Linked DNA regions of Macaca mulatta. The protein of the gene in region 1 interacts with the protein of each later gene in a pairwise test. Links are inferred from orthologs where the notes say so. Each region holds a gene or a part of one and is shown in the gene's direction. Other genes may lie near its edges.

Evidence for each region.
Region 2: the proteins of PPL (region 1) and ZSCAN1 interact in binary tests that used the Homo sapiens proteins (3 or more experiments, as listed by UniProt). The two-hybrid records come from large-scale screens. The link is inferred for Macaca mulatta from reciprocal best matches to the Homo sapiens genes PPL and ZSCAN1.
Region 3: the proteins of PPL (region 1) and AKT1 interact in a two-hybrid assay, tested with the Homo sapiens proteins (2 studies listed by BioGRID and IntAct). The link is inferred for Macaca mulatta from reciprocal best matches to the Homo sapiens genes PPL and AKT1.

Annotation. Positions count from the first base shown.
Region 1 is NC_133425.1:6,149,818-6,157,307, reverse strand, and holds part of PPL (periplakin), read left to right. Parts: coding exon 1-82; intron 83-474; coding exon 475-625; intron 626-1,732; coding exon 1,733-1,816; intron 1,817-2,574; coding exon 2,575-2,691; intron 2,692-3,535; coding exon 3,536-3,628; intron 3,629-4,705; coding exon 4,706-7,369; 3' UTR 7,370-7,490. UniProt on the Homo sapiens protein: Component of the cornified envelope of keratinocytes. May link the cornified envelope to desmosomes and intermediate filaments. May act as a localization signal in PKB/AKT-mediated signaling.
Region 2 is NC_133424.1:70,175,877-70,183,629, forward strand, and holds the end of ZSCAN1 (zinc finger and SCAN domain-containing protein 1), read left to right. Parts: intron 1-4,193; coding exon 4,194-4,332; intron 4,333-5,139; coding exon 5,140-5,762; 3' UTR 5,763-6,831; downstream 6,832-7,753. UniProt on the Homo sapiens protein: May be involved in transcriptional regulation.
Region 3 is NC_133412.1:178,212,736-178,220,488, reverse strand, and holds part of AKT1 (RAC-alpha serine/threonine-protein kinase), read left to right. Parts: intron 1-97; coding exon 98-226; intron 227-3,127; coding exon 3,128-3,239; intron 3,240-4,020; coding exon 4,021-4,168; intron 4,169-4,625; coding exon 4,626-4,757; intron 4,758-4,829; coding exon 4,830-4,895; intron 4,896-6,070; coding exon 6,071-6,139; intron 6,140-6,493; coding exon 6,494-6,619; intron 6,620-6,697; coding exon 6,698-6,826; intron 6,827-6,976; coding exon 6,977-7,191; intron 7,192-7,617; coding exon 7,618-7,705; intron 7,706-7,753. UniProt on the Homo sapiens protein: AKT1 is one of 3 closely related serine/threonine-protein kinases (AKT1, AKT2 and AKT3) called the AKT kinase, and which regulate many processes including metabolism, proliferation, cell survival, growth and angiogenesis.

The DNA of each region.
Region 1 (7,490 bases):
GCCCGGACCTGGAGCGCCAGGAGGCCGAGGTGCACAAGCTGGGCCAGCGTTTCGACAACCTGTGCCAGCAGGTGGAGCGCAGGTGAGGGTGCGGGGGGTGGTGGTCATTCTTGTTTTCTGAGAATGCAATCTAATTCCCTCTAAACAATGCTGTAGCCATGTCCCACAGATGGTGCCGTTTTTCTTTTTGGTGAGTTCGTCAGATTCCCTGACAGCCCTGTGGTCTCTCCTTTGAGTCATGATTACCTGGGTCTTGTAATCCACAATGGGCATCTCTGCAAGTCAGTGTATGTGGACTCACCCGGTTCTCCACTCCCACCTGACATTCCCTAATTACCACCCACCCGTGTGGGAGATACTTACGGTATTTCTAGTTAAGTTACATTTGATTGTTTCCCACTTTTTTTTAAAAAATGAGGGCCCCGTAAGGCATCTGCTTGCTGTGGCCAAGGCCTGAATGCTTTGCCTTGGCAGGGCGCAGAGCCTACAGAGTGCCAAGGCGGCCTACGAGGACTTCCACCACGGCCGTGACCACGTGCTGCAGCTCCTCACCAGCATCCCCAGTTACGAGCCCCAGGAGACAGACAGCCTCAGCCAGATGGAGACCAAGCTGAAGAACCAGAAGGTGAGACGGCCGCTTCTGCAGCCCCAGGCACACACTGGCGAGGGAGGGTCAGAGGTCAGCAAGCCCCTTTCTGGGGAGCCAAGCTTTTGGGAGGTGGAGCAGGGCAGAGGCCTGCCACAGCTATGTCCTCCCTGGGCCTCAGCTCTCAGGCTCCCAACACCCAACCCTCTGAGAACAAGATCCGAGTGTGTCGCTCACCTCTCCCAGCTCAGTGCCCCGCACAGGGCCTGGTGCAGAGTGGACGCCTGGCGTGGGTTGGCTATCTGAGTGAGCAGCTACAGAATGAGGAGCCGCCTTTGTGGGGAAAATCCCATTTCCAAAGTTGGGACTCCGGCCTCCCCAGGCCCAACACAGTGCCTTGGGGTGAGGGAAGAACATGGGAAGATAAAGGCTGAGATGCAACTCCCAGGTCCACCCCATCAGCCACATCCCCACTTTGGAAACTTTACTTTCCTCACTCATAAGCTGGAGGTCACGATGCTTACCTTCTGGCATCACTTGAAGATCAAATGAGATAATCTAAGTCAGAGAGCAGAACAGTGTCTGGTGGTCCAAATCATCAGTAAACATTTGTTTCCTAGCAGAGATAATGATCTTGGCCCTTCACAGAGCCTTAGAATTGCCTTTTATGGCCGGGTGCAGTAGCTCACGCCTGTAATGCCAGCATTTTGGGAGGCCGAGGCAGGTGGATCACGAAGTGAGGAATTCAAGACCAGCCTGGCAACAGTGAAACCCCATGTCTACTAAAAATACAAAAAAAAACCTAGCTGGGTATGGTGGCAGGAGCCTGTAGTCCCAGCTACTTGGGAGGCTGAGGCAGAACTGCTTGAACCCAGGAGGCTAAGGTTGCAGTGAGCCAAGATTGCACCACTGCACTCCAGCCTGGGCAATGCAGTGAGACTCTGTCTCAAAAAACAAAAAAAACAAAACCAAAAAAAAAAAAACTGCCTTTTGCAATGAACAATAATGTATACCAGGGAGCCATTCATCATACTTTGTGCTAGAGAAGAGTAAATTCAGATTCTGAGATTTCCAGCTACTTCATCCACGTTTGCTTTTTTAAATTTTTTTTCCGGTTCGTTTTGATTTTTAAACTGTGTCTTACAGAACCTGCTAGATGAGATAGCAAGTAGGGAGCAGGAAGTACAGAAGATCTGTGCCAATTCCCAGCAGTACCAGCAGGCTGTAAAGGTGAGCCGGGAAACTTCTGCCCGAAGCACAAACAGCAGGGGCCTCGTTCCTCCGTCCCCTGGTCAGAGAAGCAGCAAGCACCAGCCTTGGCACATGTGGGTGGAGCTGGCCATCTGGCGGCACTGCTGGCTGCTGTGCAAACTGGCATGGGCTTTTGGGAAAATAGCATGGTACTAGACATGCAATGCCGTAAAAGGGTTTTATACTCTGAAGCAGTAAACTCTTTGGGGGAATTTATCCTTAAAGAAAAAATACCAAAAAAAAAAGCAGGATAAAATTGTTGCAACAGCCCTATTTACAATAGCAAAACTAGTAAGCTGGAAAGGACGGGTGTCCAGTGGAAGGGGAAAGCTGCGTGAAGCAGCACACATCCACTTGCTGGATTATGAAGTCTGCAAGCTGGTAAACATGAGAAGAGGTGGTGGCAAGGTGAGACAAGGTGATGGTACAATGTTAAAAGCAGCAGCAGCAGGTGAAAATCTCTAGGCATGTAGGAAGGTCGGGAGGGGAATTCGGGGGGTGCTTTTTCTTGTCTTGTATGTTACTGAGTGATGGAGCTCTGTACTGCTGAGGTATCGGTAATTCTCAAAACCTCCTGGCAATCACTACAGGGTGCAGCTGTGAGGAAGACCCGTGCAGATTATAAAACCAGCACATGGCACAGGGCTGGTCTGGGTCAGCCGGAAGGGGTACAGGAACATGTCTGTCTCTTCTAACCTGTTTTAATCTACCCTCTGCCATGTCTCTCACTCATGCAGGACTATGAGTTAGAAGCAGAAAAACTAAGGTCTCTTCTCGACTTGGAGAATGGAAGGAGCAGCCACGTGAGCAAGAGAGCCAGGCTCCAATCTCCTGCCGCCAAAGTGAAGGAAGAGGTGAGTTTTGTGGGCCGGGCGGCCTCGGGACTGAGGTGGAGGCCAAGCTGCCCTGCTCCCCAGGGAGCATTGGTGTCACGCGCTGGCCTCAGAGATGCACATACAACAGGGAAGCCACTGAGAGCCCTCCTGTGTGCAAACAGGTATGGTAAGAGAAGATGAGGAACTTGCTCTAGGGCAGTGACAGCGATATGCCTAGAAAGACAGCAAGGCTGGGCGTGGTGGCTCCTAGCACTTTGGGTGGCTCCTAGCACCTGTAATCCTAGCACTTGGGGAGGCCAAGGTGGGAGAACTGCTTGAGCCCAGGAGTTTGAGACCAGCCCAGGCAACAAAGCAGGACCCCAAATCTACAAAAAAATTAGCCAGGCGTGGTGGTGCACCCTGCAGCTGCTTGGGAGGCTGAGGAGGGAGGATCACTTGAGCCCAGGAGTTCAAGGCTGTAGTGAGCTGCAATCACAGCATTGCACTTCAGTCTGAGTGAGAGAGATTCTGTCTTTAAAAAGTAAAAACTTTTGAAAACACAGCTGAACAGCAGTGTCAGGGTCAAAGCCATGGATCTGGAAAGTTCCTCTTTTGCTCAGTAAGTAGAGTGGAGGGCTGATATTAGTCCCTTGCACACACAAGAAAGAACACTGGTGCTCAAAGTCAGTGTAGTCAAGACCCTGGTCTGGATCTTCTGCCTCGAGATCCAGTTTTCTCTCCACCAGTGAGACTAAAGCAAGAGTTATGCCTCTACCCCCAAATTCCATACTTCTCAAGAACCACGCCCACGCTCTCTAGCTCTCTGTTGCTTACCCTGTTGACACCTGTTTGTTGATCGCTCTCCTAAACGTCTTGTCTGCAGGAAGCAGCACTTGCCGCCAAGTTCACTGAAGTTTACGCCATCAACAGACAGAGGCTGCAGAATCTGGAGTTTGCTCTGAATCTCCTGAGACAGGTAACTGATCTTCGTAAGAAATCCTACTTCAAGCTGTGCTAACAGGTGACAAAGACAGACTCTGTCTCAGAGAAATAGTCTGTGAATTGATGGGAGTGTCCCCTTGCTAACGTTTCTGGGCAGGACCAGTGCAAAGACTGGCCCGAGCCAATGCTTCTACTGACATGAGAACTTATTCAACTTAGTAAACGTCTGCTGAAAGTGAATGCTATTTTCAGCTAAACATGGTGGCTCACGCTTGTAATCCCAGCACTCTGGGAGGCCGAGGCGGGCGGATCACCTGAGGTCAGGAGTTTGAGACCAGCCTGGCCAACATGGTGAAACGCTGTGTCTACTAAAAATGCAAAAATTAGCTGGGCGGCGTGGCGCATGCCTGTAATCCCAGCTACTCAGGAGACTGAGGCAGGAGAATTGCTTGAACCCAGGAGGTGGAGGTTGCAGGGAGACGAGATTGTGCCATTGCACTCCAGCTGGGCAACAGAGCGAGACTCTGTCTCAAAAAAAAAAAAAGAAAGCAAAGAAAATGAATGTTATTTTCTGAAGTCCATGATGTTTACGACAGCATTGTTTGTAATAGCAAGACACTGGAAGCGGTTCACTCTTCATCAGCAATGGGCTAAACTGCGGTCTGTCCAGAGTAGAAACTATGCTGCTGGTAAATCCTGAAGCAGTACTCTCTGTGCGGAGCTGGAATGAGCTCTGTCAGTGCAGTCAGCGGCAGGGCACACAGCAAGAATACCATTTGTGCAGGAAAGATAAACACATGGTGCATACTACAGACAGACATGCTTGTGTGAGCATAGACAGACACGCCCTAGGAAGGGGACCAGAGGTGGGAGACCATGGTTTCATTTTAAACTCTTCCACAGCTCAAAAATGTTTTACCTAATTAAAAAAAACCCCAAACTAGTTGTTTGATCATTTTTGAAAGTAACCCTAGAACTCTACAACGAACATGAACTGGCGCTGAGGGAGTCCCTTGGGGATCACAGGACAGCCGCTCTGACCAGCTGGGGACAGGCCCCACATGTGCTGCCAGAGCCTGGCTTTAACCTTGTCTTGTCTTCTCCATCACAGCAGCCGGAAGTCGAAGTGACCCATGAGACCCTGCAAAGGAACAGGCCGGACTCTGGAGTGGAGCAGGCGTGGAAGATCAGGAAGCAACTGGATGAGGAGACTGAGCGGAGGCAGCAGCTGGAGAACGAGGTCAAGAGCACCCAGGAAGAAATCCGGACCTTGAGGAATCAGGGGCCTCAGGAATCGGTGGTGAGGAAGGAGGTGCTCAAGAAGGTGCCGGATCCCGCACTGGAGGAGAGCTTCCAGCAGCTGCAGCAGACGCTGGCAGAGGAGCAGCACAAGAACCAGTTGCTGCAGGAGGAGCTGGAGGCACTGCAACTGCAGCTGCGTGCCCTGGAGCAGGAGACCAGGGATGGGGGGCAGGAGTACGTGGTCAAAGAGGTCCTGCGCATTGAGCCCGACAGGGCCCAGGCGGATGAGGTCTTGCAGCTGCGGGAGGAGCTGGAGGTACTGAGGCGGCAGAAGGGCGCCCGGGAGGCAGAGGTGCTCCTCCTGCAGCAGCGTGTGGCCGTCCTGGCCGAGGAGAAGAGCCGGGCACAGGAGAAGGTCACCGAGAAAGAGGTGGTGAAACTGCAGAATGACCCCCAGCTGGAGGCAGAGTACCAGCAGCTGCAGGAGGACCACCAGTGCCAGGGCCAGCTCAGGGAGAAGCAGGAGGAGGAGCTGAGCTTCCTCCAGGACAAGCTCAAGAGGCTGGAGAAGGAGCGGGCCATGGCTGAGGGCAAGATCACCGTCAAGGAGGTGCTCAAGGTGGAGAAGGACGCAGCCACCGAGAGGGAGGTCAGCGATCTCACCCGCCAATACGAGGACGAGGCTGCCAAGGCTCGCGCTAGCCAGAGGGAGAAGACGGAGCTGCTCCGGAAGATATGGGCCTTAGAGGAGGAGAACGCCAAAGTGGTGGTGCAGGAGAAGGTGAGGGAGATCGTGCGGCCAGACCCCAAGGCGGAGAGTGAGGTGGCCAACCTCCGCCTGGAGCTTGTGGAGCAGGAGCGAAAGTACCGGGGTGCCGAGGAGCAGCTCCGGAGCTACCAGAGCGAGCTGGAGGCCCTCAGGAGGCGAGGCCCCCAGGTGGAAGTCAAAGAGGTGACTAAGGAAGTCATTAAGTACAAAACTGACCCCGAGATGGAGAAGGAGCTTCAGCGGCTTAGGGAGGAGATCGTGGACAAGACCAGACTGATTGAAAGGTGTGATTTAGAGATCTACCAGCTCAAGCAGGAAATCCAGGCCCTGAAAGACACCAAACCCCAGGTCCAGACCAAAGAAGTGGTCCAGGAGATCCTCCAATTCCAAGAAGACCCTCAAACCAAGGAGGAGGTGGAGTCTCTGAGGGCAAAGCTCTCAGAGGAGCAGAAGAAGCAAGTGGATCTGGAGAGGGAGAAGGCCTCCCAGGAAAAGCAGATCGCCCAGAAGGAGGAGGAGCTCTCGCGAGTGAAGGAAAGGGTGGTGCAGCAGGAGGTAGTCAGGTACGAGGAGGAGCCAGGCCTGCGGGCCGAGGTGAGCGCCTTTGCCGAGAGCATCGACGTGGAGCTGCGACAGATTGACAAGCTGCGGGCAGAGCTGCGGAGGCTGCAGCGCCGGCGCACCGAGCTTGAGCGGCAGCTGGAGGAGCTGGAGCGTGAGCGGCAGGCCCGCAGGGAGGCCGAGCGCGAGGTGCAGCGGTTGCAGCAGCGGCTGGCAGCGCTGGAGCAGGAAGAAGCGGAGGCCCGTGAGAAGGTAACCCGCAAGCAGAAGGTGGTGCTGCAGCAGGACCCGCAGCAGGCCCGAGAGCATGCCCTGCTCCGACTCCAGCTGGAAGAAGAGCAGCACCGGCGGCAGCTCCTGGAGGGTGAGCTTGAGCCCCTCCGGAGGAAACTGGCTGCACTGGAGAAGGCGGAGGTCAAGGAGAAGGTGGTGCTCTCCGAGAGCATCCAGGTGGAGAAGGGTGACACCGAGCAAGAGATCCAGAGGCTCAAGAGCAACCTGGAGGAGGAGAGCCGCAGCAAGCGCGAGCTGGATGTCGAGGTGAGCCGGCTGGAAGCCAGACTTGCGGAGCTGGAATTTCATAACTCCAAGTCATCCAAGGAACTAGATTTTCTAAGGGAAGAGAACCACAAATTACAGCTGGAGAGGCAAAACCTGCAGCTGGAGACCCGAAGGCTCCAATCGGAAATTGACATGGCAGCGACGGAAACACGAGACCTGCGGAACATGACCGTGGCGGACTCCGGGACCAACCATGACTCCAGACTGTGGTCCCTCGAGAGGGAACTAGATGACCTCAAGAGGCTCTCCAAGGACAAAGACCTCGAGATCGACGAGCTGCAGAAACGTCTGGGCTCCGTGGCTGTCAAGCGGGAGCAGCGGGAGAACCACCTGCGGCGCTCCATCGTAGTCATCCACCCCGACACAGGCCGCGAGCTGTCCCCGGAGGAAGCCCACCGCGTGGGGCTCATCGACTGGAACATGTTCGTGAAACTCAGAAGCCAGGAGTGCGACTGGGAGGAGATCTCAGTGAAGGGTCCTAATGGTGAGTCCTCAGTAATACACGACAGGAAGTCTGGCAAGAAGTTCTCCATTGAAGAGGCCCTGCAGAGCGGCAGGCTGACCCCTGCTCAGTATGACCGCTACGTCAACAAGGACATGTCCATCCAGGAGCTGGCGGTCTTGGTATCTGGGCAGAAGTAGGCACAGCTCTTGTAACTCTTCATAGCAGCAGATGCTGGTTCTCCTCCGACGCTGTGACCTCCCTGGTGTCGTCTTCTCCCTAGCCCTGGTGCAGGCCAAGCATTTTTTTTTTTTTTTTTTT
Region 2 (7,753 bases), on another chromosome or scaffold:
GTTTCTTAATGAGTATACTAACTGCCCTGGGGCACGTAGGTAAGTGTAAATGCTGTGGTTTGAGCCGAGTTTTCATCTGTAATCCCAGTGTTTGAGGTGGCCAAGGCCAGAGGATAACCCAAGCCCAGGAATTGGAGGCCAGGCTGGACAATGGAGTGAGACCATGTTACTTTCTTTCTTTGTCTTTTTCTTTCTTTTTTTTTTTTTTCTGAGATGGAGTCTTGCTCTGTCGCCCAGGCTGGAGTGCAGTGGCATGATCTCGGCTCACTGCAACCTCCACCTCCTGGGTTCAAACAATTTTCCTGCCCCACAGATGAACACCACCATACCTGGCTAATTTTTGTACTTTTAGTAGAGACGGGGTTTCACTACGTTGGCCAGGCTGGTCTCGAATTCCTGACTTCAAGTGATCCACCTGCCTTGGCCTCCCAAAGTGCCAGGATCATGGCATGAGCCACTGAGGCCAGCCCTTTTTTCCTTTTTTTGAGATGGGATCTCCCCAGACTGGGGTGTAGTGGTGCAGTTACAGCTCACTACAGCCTTGACTGCCCAGGCTCAAGTGATCCTCCCATCTCAGCTAGAATTACAGGCTTGAGCCACAGTGCCTGGTAATTTCCCAATTTTGTAGAGATGGGACTTAGCTATGTTGCCTACACTGGTCTTGAACTCCTGGTGTCAAGCAATTCTCCAGTCTCGGCCTTGGCCTCCCAAAGTGGTGGGATTCTAGGTGTGAGCCACTGCGCCTGGCCTTTAAAATTTCAATCTCTCCAAAACCTCCAAAATATTCTTTAGTTAGTTCTTCAGAAGTAGCTGGGCTCAATCCACCCACAAAAACCTTTCAGGGGGTTCTTTCCCTTTTCAAGCTTTGGCTCTATGTGGCAGGGGTGGGGGGTGGTCCTATCAATTTGCCATCCAGCTTCTGTTCTTTCCATTCCAAGGCCTTAACAGCACTAGCATTTTCCAAAAGCACAAATACAAATCCCCTTGATCTTCCAGTAACTGTTTTAACTGTGCAGTCTGCAACCAGCCTAAGTCAAGACACACCATCAGATCTCTTTTTGCTTGTAACACTGTACCATCATCCTGCAGATCTTGGATCCCTCTGTGATTTCCTCTGTATTGCTTGCGGTACTCATTCAGGTCTTTGCTGGTCCTGGAGGAGTTGTAGGCAGGGGGCTGCTGGTGCACCCTCAGGGTAAGGAAGCAGTGTATGCTATGGAGTTGGACTTCAAATGGTGGTGGAAGACAGTCATTATAATTTTATGGGACCACGGTGGTGTGTGTGGTCTGTTGTTGACTGAAACGCCATCACCTCATGTGGGGAGCTGCCAGAAGCCTGTAAGAGTAGCTGCCTGAAGCCCTTTGGGGGTAGCACTCTAAGGTCCCTTAGATCACATGGGTGTAGCACCCTGAGGCCCTGGCGGGAATGACTGTTGGAACCTCTGTCAGTGGTAAGTGATGCCAGTGTCCTCTGTGGAGCAAACTGCTGGGGTCCCTGGTGGTTCCCACCGTGTAGCTGACACTCGTGGCCTCTGCTTTTCTTCTTTGTTCACAGTGTTCTCCTGGCATCTCAGGTATGCATTATCTCACCAGTGAACTTTTTCATGTGGACATTCTCGGGTTTTTTCGTTTTACTCCACTGTGTTGCTGCAGATCTTCAATGGGTCCTTGAGCGTTCTGGGCTATTCTGGCTTGTGAATATCTGTCTGTAGTTGATTTGTGTGTGGGTAGTGGGAGGGGGAAATGAAGGTTGGTATCTCCTACTCCACCGTCTTGGTGATGTTGCTCCACTCTTTCCTTTCTTTTTTTTCCAAAATAACCCAGCAACATTGCCCCAACTAAAGCCATTAAGATAATTCCTGGCCGGGTGCGGTGGTTCACGCCTGTAATCCCAGCACTTTGGGAGGCTGAGGTGGGTGGATCACTAGAGGTCAGGAGTTCAAGAGCAGGCTGGCCAACATGGTGAAGCCTCATCTCTACCAAAAAATACAAAAATTAGTTGGGTGTGGTGGCACGTGCCCGTGGTCCCAGCTACTCGGGAGGCTGAGGCACAAGAATCGCTTAAACCCAGGGAGTGGAGGTTGCAGTGAGCTGACAGACATCGCGCCACTGCACTCCAGCCTGGGTGACAGAGCGAGACCCTGTCTCTAGATAAATAAATAAAATAGAGCCATTAAGATAATTCCTCAAAAACAGTAAGTTGCCAGGCATTCACATTTCTCCTTTATTCTCGTTTTTGTTTTGTTTGAGACGGAGTCTCGCTCTGTCACCAGGCTGGAGTGCAGTGGTGCGATCTCAGCTCACTGCAACCTCTGCCTCCTGGGTTCAAGTGATTCTCCTGCCTCAGCCTCCCAAGTAGCTGGAACTACAGGTGCGCATCACCACACTCAGCTAATTTTTGTATTTTTAGTAGAGATGGGTTTCACCATGTTGGCCAAGATGGTCTCGATATCCTGACCTCTTGATCCGCCCGCTTCTGCCTCCCAAAGTGCTGGAATTACAGGCGTGAGCCACCATGCCTGGACCCTCATTCTTGTTTTCTTTTTCTCGGTTGCTTGGTTTGCATTAGGACTTTCCCAGGGTGTAACTGCGTCTCCCTCCCCTGTCCAATCTCCCCACCTGTCATCCCTGAGACAATAAACCTGGGTCCATCTCTGGAAGGATAAGAGCCCAGATCTGTGGCCAGTGGCTCACTGGGGCTATGGGGATGTGTTTGCATTGAAGGTACAGATAGGGCCCCAGGAATGTCTTGGTTTCTGTGCCCGACCCAAGTGTGCTGATAGCTCCTCAGATGCCTCCCGAGAGTCAGGGGAACTAAGCATGCCCGTCTCCACACACACACACACAGGCCACCCACTCTTCTCTCCACGCAGCCCCTCTGCTGCCCTTGATTAGTCACAGACACCAAGGTGGGTGAAGTAGGGAGTAGGCTGACTGTCCACAGTGGCCCCCAGCAGCCAGGTACCGGAAAGAGGCGTAAAAGGGAGTCCCGCCTTTACTCTTGCAGATGATGGCTCCTCTGGTGACGATTTCAGAATTCAACATGTTTTACAATCAAAACTAGCATTTGATAATAAATAAAAATCAACAGCCCAGCCAAACACACCATCCACATACTCCCAATGTGAGAGCAGGAAGACTCTTGTGCCTTAACTCCCTTCCTGCCACCAGCTCCCTCTCTCCCTCCCTCCTCTGTCTCTAGCCCAGCAATCCCTCCACTCCGGTTCTGCCCAGCTGTTGGGAATCTTGGACAGCTTCCTGAGATCCCTGTGCATCCAGTCAGGGTTGGGGCAGCAGAAAACGAAGACCCACTCAAGACCTTATCAGTGCGTGCTTGACTCCTGGTCTCTCTTCTCATGCTTTGTTTGACTCGACATACCTCCTCCAACAACTTGATTTGCATTGATAAGTGTCACTGTGTTTTCCTTTGACACGACCCTGTTGCAGTTTGCCGAGCCCTTGATGGTACCAGGCTCTGGGCACGTAGAACCTACATCCTCATTGGAAACCCAGAGAGCTAAAGCTCCTCAGCCAGGGTCACAGAGCGAGCAGAGCTGGAGCCTGGATACCAAGCCAAGCCCCTCTGTTTTGAATTCTTGCTCTTCAACTACAGCTCAGTCTCCTCCCAGGAAGTGGTGATCCCCGCTTTGGGCGGGACAGGGTTAAGTGCCTCAGAGGTCATAGGTCGCAGGTGGGATGTGAAGTCTGTGCAGTCGCCCACCTTCTCTGGGCTTGTGGGCAAGGACAGTGCAGCCTTGGGGGATGGGAGTTAGGAGCCCCAGCGGGTAACAGTGACCTGAGCCGTGGCACGGGTCCCCTGGCTCCATCTTATGCTCTGTTGTCACCGTCCTGAAATGATCAACTATTTTTGAACAAGGGGACTTGCATTTCCATTTTGTACAGGGGCCCCTCGAATTATGTCTCAGGTCCTGGTAAGAGCTCCTTGGGAGTGGTTACTTATCTTTTTGTATAAGCAGAGCCTTGCTATGTTGCCCAGGCTGGTCCCAAACTCCTGGACTCAAGCAATCCTCCGGCATCAGCATCCCAAAGCAGGGGAACAACAGGCACGCCACCACATACCGCCCTGGGAGACAGCCTTTGGGGATGACGCCCGTTCCTTTGTTGTTCCGTGGTGGTGGGGAGGACGGCTCCTGAGGGGCAGCTGCCGAACAGTCCTGTGCTTGCCATTCCAGGCGTCTGAGCTGATTCTGGATGCAGCGGCAGCAGCCCCGGCACTCCCTGAGGAAAGTGAGTGGCTGGAGCCCACCCAGCTCCTGCAGAGTCTGCACACCAGGGCGGAGGCCGAGGCGCCCCATGCCCCTGGCTTGCTGGGTGAGTCTGGCTCCCGCGTGAATTAAGGGTTGGAAATGGAGTTTGGCACCTCAACCCAAAGTCACAGACTTTGTTAATGGGTGGAGTTGGGGGCTTCGGTGGTAAACTCCACACTTCCCCCAGAAACCATGCACACCTCCTGTGGGGACTGAGATCAGGGGCCCCTAGAACTGCCACATACATCGTTCAGCCCACGAGAAGGGCCTCAGCCTCCCCACCTGAACAGCAGCCAAGGCAGACAGTCTGACAGTGTTGGAGCACAGGGTTACCCAGAAGGCCAGCCAGGTAGGAACAAGGGGCCAGTGCTGTGGGATCTGCTCCCAAAACACATGCCCTTCTTTTTTTTTTTTTTTTGGAGATGGAGTCTTGCTCTGTTGCCCAGGCTGGAGTGCAGTAGTGCAATCTCGGCTCACTGCAACCTCTGCCTCCCGGATTCAAGCGATTCTCCTGCCTCAGCCTCCTGAGTAGCTGGGATTACAGGTGCCCACCGCCACACCTGGCTAATTTTTGTATTTTAGTAGAGATGGGGTTTCACCATGTTGGACAGGCTGGTCTTGAACTCGTCACCTCATGATCCACGCTCCTCGGCCTGCCAAAGTGCTGGGATTATAGGCGTAAGCCACTGCGCCCAGCCACATGTGCCCTTGTATCTTAAAGGACAGAACAGAGGGCACAGGGGACATATTGAGCAGAAGAAGGGCCCAGACTTGGCTCAGTCATTGGGGTCCTCCACGCCCCTGGGGGGCACAGGGAGATGCCAAAGCCATCCACTCACTACAGGTGACCTGTCTCCCTCGCCCTCCACAGGGTCCCGGGCCCGCCTGTCTCTGAAGCCATGTATCTGGGACGAGCCTGAGGATCTTCTCGCAGGGCCCTCCTCAGACCTGCGTGCAGAAGGGGCTGTGATCTCAAGCCTCAAGGGTCCGAGTGCTCAGAGAATCAGTCCCCGAAGGAGAAACAGGAACACTGACCAGAGCGTCCGCCACCAGCCATCCCTCAAGCACACCAAAGGTGGCACCCAAGAGGCTGCTGCAGCGGTCTCAGCAACGCTGCGTGGGCCCCGAGGTGGGCGGCCCTTCCAGTGTGCCGACTGCGGGATGGTCTTCACCTGGGTCACCCACTTCATCGAGCACCAGAAGACCCATCGCGAGGAAGGGCCCTTTCCGTGCCCCGAGTGTGGCAGGGTCTTCCTGCACAGCTCTGTCCTTGCTGAGCACGGCAAGATCCACCTGTTGGAGCCACCCAGGAAGAAAGTCCCCCGGAGCAAGGGCCCCCGGGAGTCCGCCCCACCCAGGGATGGAGCCCAAGGCTCAGTGGCCCCTCGCAGCCCCAAGAGACCCTTCCAGTGTAGCGTCTGCGGGAAGGCCTTCCCCTGGATGGTCCACCTCATCGACCATCAGAAACTCCACACGGCCCACGGCCACATGTGAATGGCCAGCCTCGGGCCTTGGCCACCCGGCCCTGAGTCCCCGGGGGGCACCGATGGGCACCAGAAGATGGGGGACATCCCCCAGCCCCACCAACCCCTGGCCACCATGGGACTCCTCTTGAAGGACACAGGCTGCTTCTCAGAAGATCCTGGACACCTGCTCCAGAGCCGAGCATGGCTTCCCAGGATCTCGGCCAAGCAGCAGCAGTTCCACAGCAAAACCTGGTCAGTCCTGCACACTGTGTTTTGCAAGTGGCTTGAAGAGGAGTTTCATTCACGTCTCGTCTTTCAGAAGCCTTGTCCAGGTCTCCCTGTGAGCACCTGACTCAGGGGCAGACTCTGCCGCTGGGTTTTCATTTCACTGTGGATATCCCTGAGGCCATGAGGGCGGGAGCCGGCCTGGGCAGCTCCAACTCCAGAGAAGGGTACAGCTGACCCCGGCTGCCCTCCTGCCAGCTCAGCCCCCTTGGAACCTAACAGATAAACAGGGTTTTGTTTTTTTTCCTTTTTTGGGAAACATAAAATTTACCATTTCAGTCATTAAAAATGCACAGTTCAGTGGCATTAAACACATTCACAACACTGTGCAACTACCAGCACTCTTTAGCTCCAAAGACATTTTCATCTCGCCCAGAAAGAGAGCCCACAGGCCTCAGCACGCCTTCGCCGTTCCGCCTGCCCTGACAACCAGAATCTGCTTCCTGTCTCTAAGGATTTCAGGCGCAGTCTTTAGGCCTGACCAAAACTGACCTGCCTATATTTTGTTTGACTTACAGAAGGAGTTTTTTTTTGAGATGGATGCCAACATTTGTTTAAACCATAAAAATCTGGCATTCTGGTCTGCCAGGAAGAACCAGATGGTCTCCAAAGAGTGGGGCCGCCTCTCCTGCTAGACTGGAGCAGAGGTGGGCAGGCGGTGAGGTCACAGCAGGGAGCCAGCCTCAGATTCAGCGTCTCGCCCATCCCCAACTCATTGTTGCTGGACACTTGTCCTCTTTCAAGCCTTAAAAGTTTTTGTCTTTTTCTTTTTCTCCTCCCAACTTCACTTTGAAACACAGTGTTGGGCTGACTGTGAATCTGCACAGGCAGACATTTTTCCAAGTCGCCTTCTAACTCAAAAGCCTTTGGACCTACCCACGTCACATCCGCCTGCTGCTGATTCTCAACCAATCTGCCCCCACTCTCGGCCTCTGTCCCCGACGGCCCTCACAGGCTGTGCAGGTCCCACGGACCCGCCGCTGCCTTCACTTCATCCTCGCTGCCGTGCTTGCCTTCTCGCGCTTGCCTTCTGGAGCGCCCCCAACCGGGCCTCTGGACTTTGCTTCCCCGGCTCCCTCCGGCATCCCCAGCTTTTCCCTGCAGTCCCCACTGGGGGCTCCTGGCTCTATCCTATGCCTTAATTGCTGATGGGCTCCAGCTCCCCTCCTGGGGCCTTCTCTCTCATCCTGCAAAGGAGGAGCTTCTTCTACCGAGCTCAGGATGGAGGGTGGGGTCTTGGCCCCGCAGTCAGCCCATTACTCTCGGAAGCCCCCCTGAGCCTTCTCTCAGGGGCAGATCGATCATCTCGCACAATGGGATATGTAAAGATAGCTCTCCCGAGTGCCCCCACTTGTTGGGAGCCAGGGGCTCATTCCATGCAGTTTCCATCTCGGTCTCCACCTGCTGGAGGCACAATCACAGCTGTTTGTTGGTGCCCGAATTGCACAAGAAAGTGGGTGCCATTGAACACAGGGCATCAGTCAGGCTCAAGTCTACCTGGGCTGGCCCCACAGACATCCATCTCGTGTCCCTCAGTCCTCCAATTGAGTTTGTCCAAATAACTCATCTTCCCTTGTGCAAAAACAACAAAAAACATGCAAACTGCCTCCCCTCTGGGGTTCCCACTCTCCTCAGAGGGACCACCACCTTCCAAGGCCCCAGAAGGATTTTTGATTGCCCTGGGAACCCACCTCCCAACCCCTCTGAGTTCTCTTTTCTCCTCTGCACCATCAG
Region 3 (7,753 bases), on another chromosome or scaffold:
AGGCACATCTGTCCTGGCACACCAGTTGCTACCTGGCTGCCTGGCGAGGGTCTGACGGGTAGAGTGTGCATGGCCCTCACCACCTGCACGTCCGTAGGGGAGTACATCAAGACCTGGCGACCACGCTACTTCCTCCTCAAGAATGATGGCACTTTCATTGGCTATAAGGAGCGGCCGCAGGACGTGGACCAACGTGAGGCCCCCCTCAACAACTTCTCTGTGGCACGTAAGTGTCCCCTCAGCCTTTCGGGATTCAGATTTGGGGTTGGCTGGAGCCCTCTTTGCCCACCAGGCCCCCCGATGGGGGTGCCCTGGAGCCTCCATGTTCTGGGCCAGCAAGCAACAAGCACGGGTTGGGTGGGGGTCTCTGGGCTGAGTCCCGAGGCTGGCTGGGCAGGGGTCTCCAGGCTGAGTCCCAAAGCCGAGGCTGACTGGGTGGGGGTCTCCAGGCTGAGTCCTAAGGCTGAGGCTGGCTAGGCGAGGGTCTCTGGGCCGAGTCCCGAGGCCGAGGCTGGCTGGGCAGGGGTCTCTGAGCTGAGTCCTGAGGCTGGCTAGGCGGGGGTCTCTGGGCCGAGTCCCGAGGCCGAGGCTGGCTGGGCAGGGGTCTCTGAGCTGAGTCCTGAGGCTGGCTAGGCGGGGGTCTCTGGGCCGAGTCCCGAGGCCGAGGCTGGCTGGGCAGGGGTCTCTGAGCTGAGTCCTGAGGCTGGCTAGGCGGGGGTCTCTGGGCCGAGTCCCAATGCTGGCTGACTGTGGAGCAGTTCCCTGGTGCCCATGCTCTGGAGGCTGGAGGGTCCAGACAAGTGGTAGCAGAGCCTAGCCTCAGGGTGGACAGCTGACCCGGGGGCCCCTCCTCCAAGCGGGGCAGATAGAGCCCACCTGGGTCTCTAGCTCTGAAGCCTCCATCACTCGAGGAAGAGCTCATGCCTCTGCCCGCACAGGCGCTCGGTCCCCAAACCCCGTGGCGGAACCTTTGCTTCCCTCTGTGAGGCTGCAGGCTGGAAGCCTCCTTGCCCACGAAGGGGCGGGTGCAGAAAGGCCAGCGGGGGACCTTGGCCAGAGCATCCCACAGAGATGAGAGACGTGACACTCCCTGCTTCGCCCTGCTGTGGCTTTATTTCCTACCTGTAGCGGGGGCAGGTGCGACCCTACCCATGTTAGACGGGAACCCTGGCATGGAGACCCAGGCGCCCTGCTAGGTGGGAGGCTGGGGGCACGTGGGCCTCCCAGCATGGTCCCCATTTTCTGTGTCCCTGTCCTGGAGCCCAGCTCTGCCCGTGGCAGCCAAAGGTGTGATTGAGTAGCTAAGTAGGACCCAGTTGTGGGCCATCTGTATGTGGCAGGGCTGCGTAACTTGCCCCACGCCCTCCCCAGTGTCTCCTTGGTTGGGGCTGGGGGCTTCAGGGATCAGGGAGAGGCTGGATACTCGCTGTGTGCCTGGTGGCACCTGGGACAGGGCCTTGCTGGGGACGGGTGCTGTGGGTGTGCTCGCCAGGCCGAGGCATCAGGAAGGAAGGAAGAGGGGAGCTCTCTGGGGAGGCACACGGGTGGGTACCAGCTGGGGTGGTGCCTGAGCAGCCGGCAAGGCTGGGGCCTTCAGATGAGGCCATAGGTGGGTGGTCTGGAGTGCCTGGCCAAGGAGCAGAGCTGGGCAGGGGCCAGGAGCTTTTCTCCGGGGAAGGGTTCCGGGGCAGTGGGCTCGAGACCCTGGCCCTGGGGATTGCATATTAGGGCAGATCAGACCATCCAGGAGCAAGTGGGAGGTGGGTGTGCCGGGGCTTCACACTGGTTTCCACTTCTCTGGCCTGTGTTGACACAGGCCACCCTCCCCACCAGGCTGGTCCCGAGCCCCCTCCTGGCCCCCAGGCCTGGAAGACAGCTCCCTCGCTGCCTGGCCAGGCCCCCTTGTGGTTGCCAGGGCCTCGATGCTGGAATGTCAGAGGCCCCCTACTGGCCCCTCAGCCCCCTCCTGCTTTGCACAGGCTGGGCCAGAGCCTGCCAAGGAGCCCCAGCGGCTACACACTGCACTCACTCACACCTCTCAGGGCCCCGCACGTTCCCACAGCCCTCAGGGTGTATGTGCAGTAGGAATGGCTGTGCCCCACGTATGTGTTCCCCAGGTGTGTGTGCGCTCCAGGTGTGTGTGTGCCCCAGGTGTGGCTGTGCACCAGATGTGGCTGTGCCCCAGGTGTGTGTGTGCCCCAGATGTGGCTGTGCCCCGAGTGTGGGTGTGCCCCGGGTGTGGGTGTGTTCCACGTGTGGGTGTACCCCTGGTGTGACTGTGTGCCCCAGGTGTGGCTGTGTTCCGAGTGTGGCTGTGCCCCACATGTGGGTGTGCCCCGGGTGTGACTGTGCCCCAGATGTGGGTGTGCCCTGGGTGTGACTGTTCTGGGTGTGGCTGTGCCCCACATATGTGTGTGCCCCGGGTGTGGGTGTGCTCCAGGTGTGGGTGTGCCCCAGATGTGGGTGTGCCCTGGGTGTGGGTGTGCTCCAGGTTTGGGTGTGCACCAGGTGTGGGTGTGCACCAGGTATGGTGTGCCCCAGGTGTGGCTGTGCCCCAGGTGTGGCTGTGCCCCGGGTGTGACTGTGCACCAGGTGTGGTGTGCCCCGGGTGTGGTGTGCCCCAGGTGTGGCTGTGCACCAGGTGTGGCTGTGCCCCCAGGTGTGCGTGTGCCCCCAGGTGTATTTCCCAGGTACTCAGGGTGAGATTGGGAAAATAGCAGGACATTTCTACACTAGGTGGGACAAGCTGCTTTCTGGGGTGGCCCCCTCATGCCAGCCCCTCTGTGGGATCTCCATATCCCTCATCCTCTGAGGCCTGGTGCACGGTGGGGCTCAGTGACTGAAGGAAGGGGACTGTAGGAGGGGACGATGCGGGGGGGTTGACCTGACCTTGGGCCAGATGCCCTTTGGGGCTGCCTCAACCTGGAATAGAGTGTCTGAGCTGGAATGGGGGTCCTAGCCCCACTCTATGAGGCGAGAAACTGAGGCTTGGAGAGAGGAGGAGGTGGGGCTTCCTAGGACTTGTGGGTGGTATGCAAGGGGAGCTGGCTGGTGCGGTGGGGACTGTGGTGAGGGCCCTGGGAGGGGCAGGGGGATGCATGCAGACAGAGGCTCTGCTTGCCCGCAGAGTGCCAGCTGATGAAGACGGAGCGGCCCCGGCCCAACACCTTCATCATCCGCTGCCTGCAGTGGACCACTGTCATCGAACGCACCTTCCACGTGGAGACTCCCGAGGAGCGGTACGTGGGCTGCGGCGGCCAGGCCGGGCACTTGGGCAGCCCTAGCGCTTAGGAGGGACGTGGGGATGGCGGGTGCTGGGCGCCTCTGCCTATAGCCATCCTTACTCCCCAGTGATCCCAGGCCCTCCTCAGAGCCCGGTTTGGAAACTGGCCCAGTCCTGTGGGGTTGGGTGGGGAAACTGAGGCTGGAGATAAAAACTGTCTAGGGACCGGGCACAGTGGCCGACATCTATAATCTTGGCACTTTGGGAGGCTGAGATGGGCAGATCACTTGAGACCAGGAGTTCAAGACCGGCCTGGCCAACATGGTGAAACCCCCGCCTCTACTAAAAATATAAAACTTAGCTGGGTGTGGTGGTGCACACCTGTGATCCCAGCTACTTGGGAGGCTGAGGCACAAGAATTGCTTGAACCCAAGAGGCGGAGGCCGCAGTGAGCCGAGATTGTACCAGTGCACTCCAGCCTGGGTGATAGAGCAAGCCTGGGGGGCGGAGTCCTGCTGTGGGCCTGGGTCCTGCTGGGGGTTGGAGTTTGCCTGTGGGGACAGAGCCCTGCTGGGGGCTTGAACCCTACTTGGGGGCTAAGCCTGCGTGTCCCTCAGGTCCAGAAGGGCTTTCTGACCCTGAGTGTGTGTGGCCAGCCCAGGTCAAGGGGTGGCCTCCTCAGGGCTGTCTCTGGGGACCCCGCTTGTGAGGCTGGAGGGTGGGTGTAAGCCGTGGGGTGGAGCTCCTGACCTCATGGGGTGAGGTGCAGGGCTACAGCCTCACCTGACCTCCTGCAGGGAGGAGTGGACAACCGCCATCCAGACAGTGGCCGATGGCCTCAAGAAGCACGAGGAGGAGATGATGGACTTCCGGTCGGGCTCACCCAGCGACAACTCAGGGGCTGAAGAGATGGAGGTGTCCCTGGCCAAACCCAAGCACCGTGTGGTAAGGCCTGTCCCCCTTTCTGCCTATGCCTGGGGCTACCTTGGGCTGTGGAGAGCTGGGTGGGTCATGGGGTCCCAGCTTGGCCCAGGAGACACTCAGCACTCCACAGCATCCCCATCTAGGCCGGTTTTCCATGTGGGGCGCAGCTGCTTCCCAGGTGGGTCCTCTTCCCTATGTCAGAGAAATAGTGGGGCTGCTGAGCCCTGCCAGGCTTGGGCAGTGTTACCCCACCCTTCCCCGAACCCCACGCTCTGAGCTAGGGCTGCACCGTGTGTTCCCTGTAAGTCCGGACTCCCCGCTGAGCCCCGCAGGCCACCAGGTGTGAAGCGGTCGCCTCTCCTGGCTCCGCCTCCAAGTCTGCCAAGGGTGACTCTGGGGCCCCCATGCCACCTGACACATGCCGACCAGCTGGGCACTGTGGGCAGCGCCCCCCGCTGACCCTGGTGCCTGCCCACAGACCATGAACGAGTTTGAGTACCTGAAGCTGCTGGGCAAGGGCACTTTCGGGAAGGTGATCCTGGTGAAGGAGAAGGCAACGGGCCGCTACTATGCCATGAAGATCCTCAAGAAGGAGGTCATCGTGGCCAAGGTGGGGCCGGGGTGGTGGGGCAGGGTGGAGACGAGGATGCTGGGCGGCAGCTCACCCAGCCCTGCCTTACAGGACGAGGTGGCCCACACACTCACCGAGAACCGTGTTCTGCAGAACTCCAGGCACCCCTTCCTCACGGTGAGTGGGAGCCCAGATGGGGCTGAAGGGCTGGGGTCAGGTGGCGACTCCTGGGGCTGTCTCTAGGGAACGATGTCCTGTCTTCTTGGGCACGTGAGGACTTTACGCACCGCGGATTCTGCCGCTGGTGACAGGCCTGCCCCGGAGGGTCAGGCTGTGGAGGTGCCCGATGTGGGCTGGGGGCTGTGCTCGCCGCTCCTGTGTGCAGGCAGGTGGGGCAGGTGGCCCTGGTCGTCTTTGCACTCTGCCGAGGCTCCGGGAGGCCCCAGCTCCCCATGCCCTGCAGCCCTGCCTGCCAGGCTTCTGTTGAGGCCCGGGCTCTGTCCTGGGGAGCCCGTTCTGGGGACTCGACCCAGGAGGTATTTACTGTGAAGGGGGCCAGACTCCAGCCACGTGGTTAGTTCCAGGTCACTGTGTTTGGGGATGATTCTCCTGCAGAAGGGGCCTTTGCTTTAAAAGCACAGCCGCCTGTGGTGGAAGGCAGGAAGGTGGCTCTGCCTGGGAGGGTGCATCCTCCCTTGCCAGGGCTCTGGTGCTGGGAGCACTGCCCCCTGTTGAGGTCCCAACCCGCCCTGGAGACCTGAGCCCAGGCCACTTTGCTCACCTTTCAAACACTCCTTGGCGCCTCAGGGGCTGCCAGGGCCCAGCCTGATGGCGTGGTGTGGGGGTGTGGCATGAGGCAGTGTGATGTGGGGGTGTGTGGTGTGGGACAATGTGGTGTGAGACAGTGTGATGTGGGGGTGTGTGGTGTGGGACAATGTGGTGTGAGGCAGTGTGATGTGGGGGTGTGTGGTGTGGGACAATGTGGTGTGAGACAGTGTGATGTGGGGGTGTGTGGTGTGGGACAATGTGGTGTGAGACAGTGTGATGTGGGGGTGTGTGGTGTGGGACAATGTGGTGTGAGGCAGTGTGATGTGGGGGTGTGGTGCGGGGCAGCGTGGTGTGGGGCAGCGTGGTATCGGGCAATGTGGTGTGAGGCAGCGTGGCGTGGGGCTACGGGTGGCATGGTATCGGGTGGCATGGTATCAAGCAGCATGGTATCAGGCAGCGTGGTGTCGGGCAGCATGGTGTGGGGCTACGGGTGGCATGGTATCAAGCAGCATGGTATCGGGCAGCGTGGTGTGGGGCTGCTGTCCTGCCCGTGGGGCTGCAGTTCCAGCTCCGCTTCCTTGCAGGCCCTGAAGTACTCCTTCCAGACCCACGACCGCCTCTGCTTCGTCATGGAGTACGCCAATGGGGGCGAGGTAGGGGCTGGGGCTGCGGGGGATGGGCCTCACGGCCTGTGGACCCAGCCCTGGCAGCTGGGCCACCCATAGTGGGGCTGGTCCTTCCCGGAACCTCGGCTACTCTCCACAGCACCAGACGGTGCTCCCTGCTGGGTGGGTGGTATGACGCCTGCCCAGGCAGCTGCCTGCTGTGGGGTGACTTGTTCCTGCTGAGTTAGGGCTTCTGAGACTTTCCAGGCCCCCGTGCCCTCTGGGGGCTGGTCCCTTCCCTGTGCCCAATGCCCTGAGCCCCTGCCTGAGAAACCCCAACCCTGCAGGCCGTGGGGGCAGAGGCCCCGGCCACGGCTGTGCCTCAGGTCGTGCTTCCCACAGCTCTTCTTCCACCTGTCCCGGGAGCGTGTGTTCTCTGAGGACCGGGCCCGCTTCTATGGCGCCGAGATCGTGTCAGCCCTGGACTACCTGCACTCGGAGAAGAATGTGGTGTACCGGGACCTCAAGGTGCGCCGGCGGGCACTCGGGGTGGGGGCAGGGCCCTGGGAGCCTGGCGGCACTGACCTGAGGCCACCTTTCCCCTAGCTGGAGAACCTCATGCTGGACAAGGACGGGCACATTAAGATCACAGACTTCGGGCTGTGCAAGGAGGGGATCAAGGACGGCGCCACCATGAAGACCTTCTGCGGCACACCTGAGTACCTGGCCCCCGAGGTGTGCGCCCCACCTGTGTGCATACGCGTCGCTGTGTCCCCACGTCCCGAGCACACGCAAAGCTGTGTCCTCTCTGTGCCCCAAGCACGTCACGACACCTCCCCCGGACACCCCCTGATGCCGAGTCCTGCCCATCTGCCGCCCGTGCAGGTGCTGGAGGACAATGACTACGGCCGTGCGGTGGACTGGTGGGGGCTGGGCGTGGTCATGTATGAGATGATGTGCGGCCGCCTGCCCTTCTACAACCAGGACCACGAGAAGCTTTTTGAGCTCATCCTCATGGAGGAGATCCGCTTCCCGCGCACGCTTGGTCCTGAGGCCAAGTCCTTGCTCTCAGGGCTGCTCAAGAAGGACCCCAAGCAGAGGTGAGGGCCACCCATCCCGGCTGCAGGCTCCACCTCCATCCCCTCACCCCCAGGCTGCACCTGCCCCTGTGCCAGGCGGTCCTGGCACCTCCCAGACTACACTGACAGCCAGAGCTTGATGTCCTTGGCCAGGGCTGATCCCCAAAGCCTCAGGCACAGGCAGAGTGGCTGGGTAGGGCAGGGTCAGTTGGGCCTCCATCCCCAACCCTGCAGCCCCCACACCCCCAACTCAGGAAGCCCCTGCCTGCCGTGAGCCCTGGGGTGCTTTGCTCCCCACAGCTGCTCAGGGATGCTGCACCACCGGTTGCCCTCCCTGGCCCCAGAACGTCCTGTCCGGCGGGCCCTACATCACAGGAGGAAGGGGTCTGAGCCTGGGGCCTGGGCGGGTGGCAGTACCGACACCGTGGCCTTGTTTGCTACCCGCAGGCTTGGCGGGGGCTCTGAGGACGCCAAGGAGATCATGCAGCATCGCTTCTTTGCCGGCATCGTGTGGCAGCACGTGTATGAGAAGAAGGTGCGGCTGCTTCCCGCATATCCACACTCACGCATGCACGTGGCACGC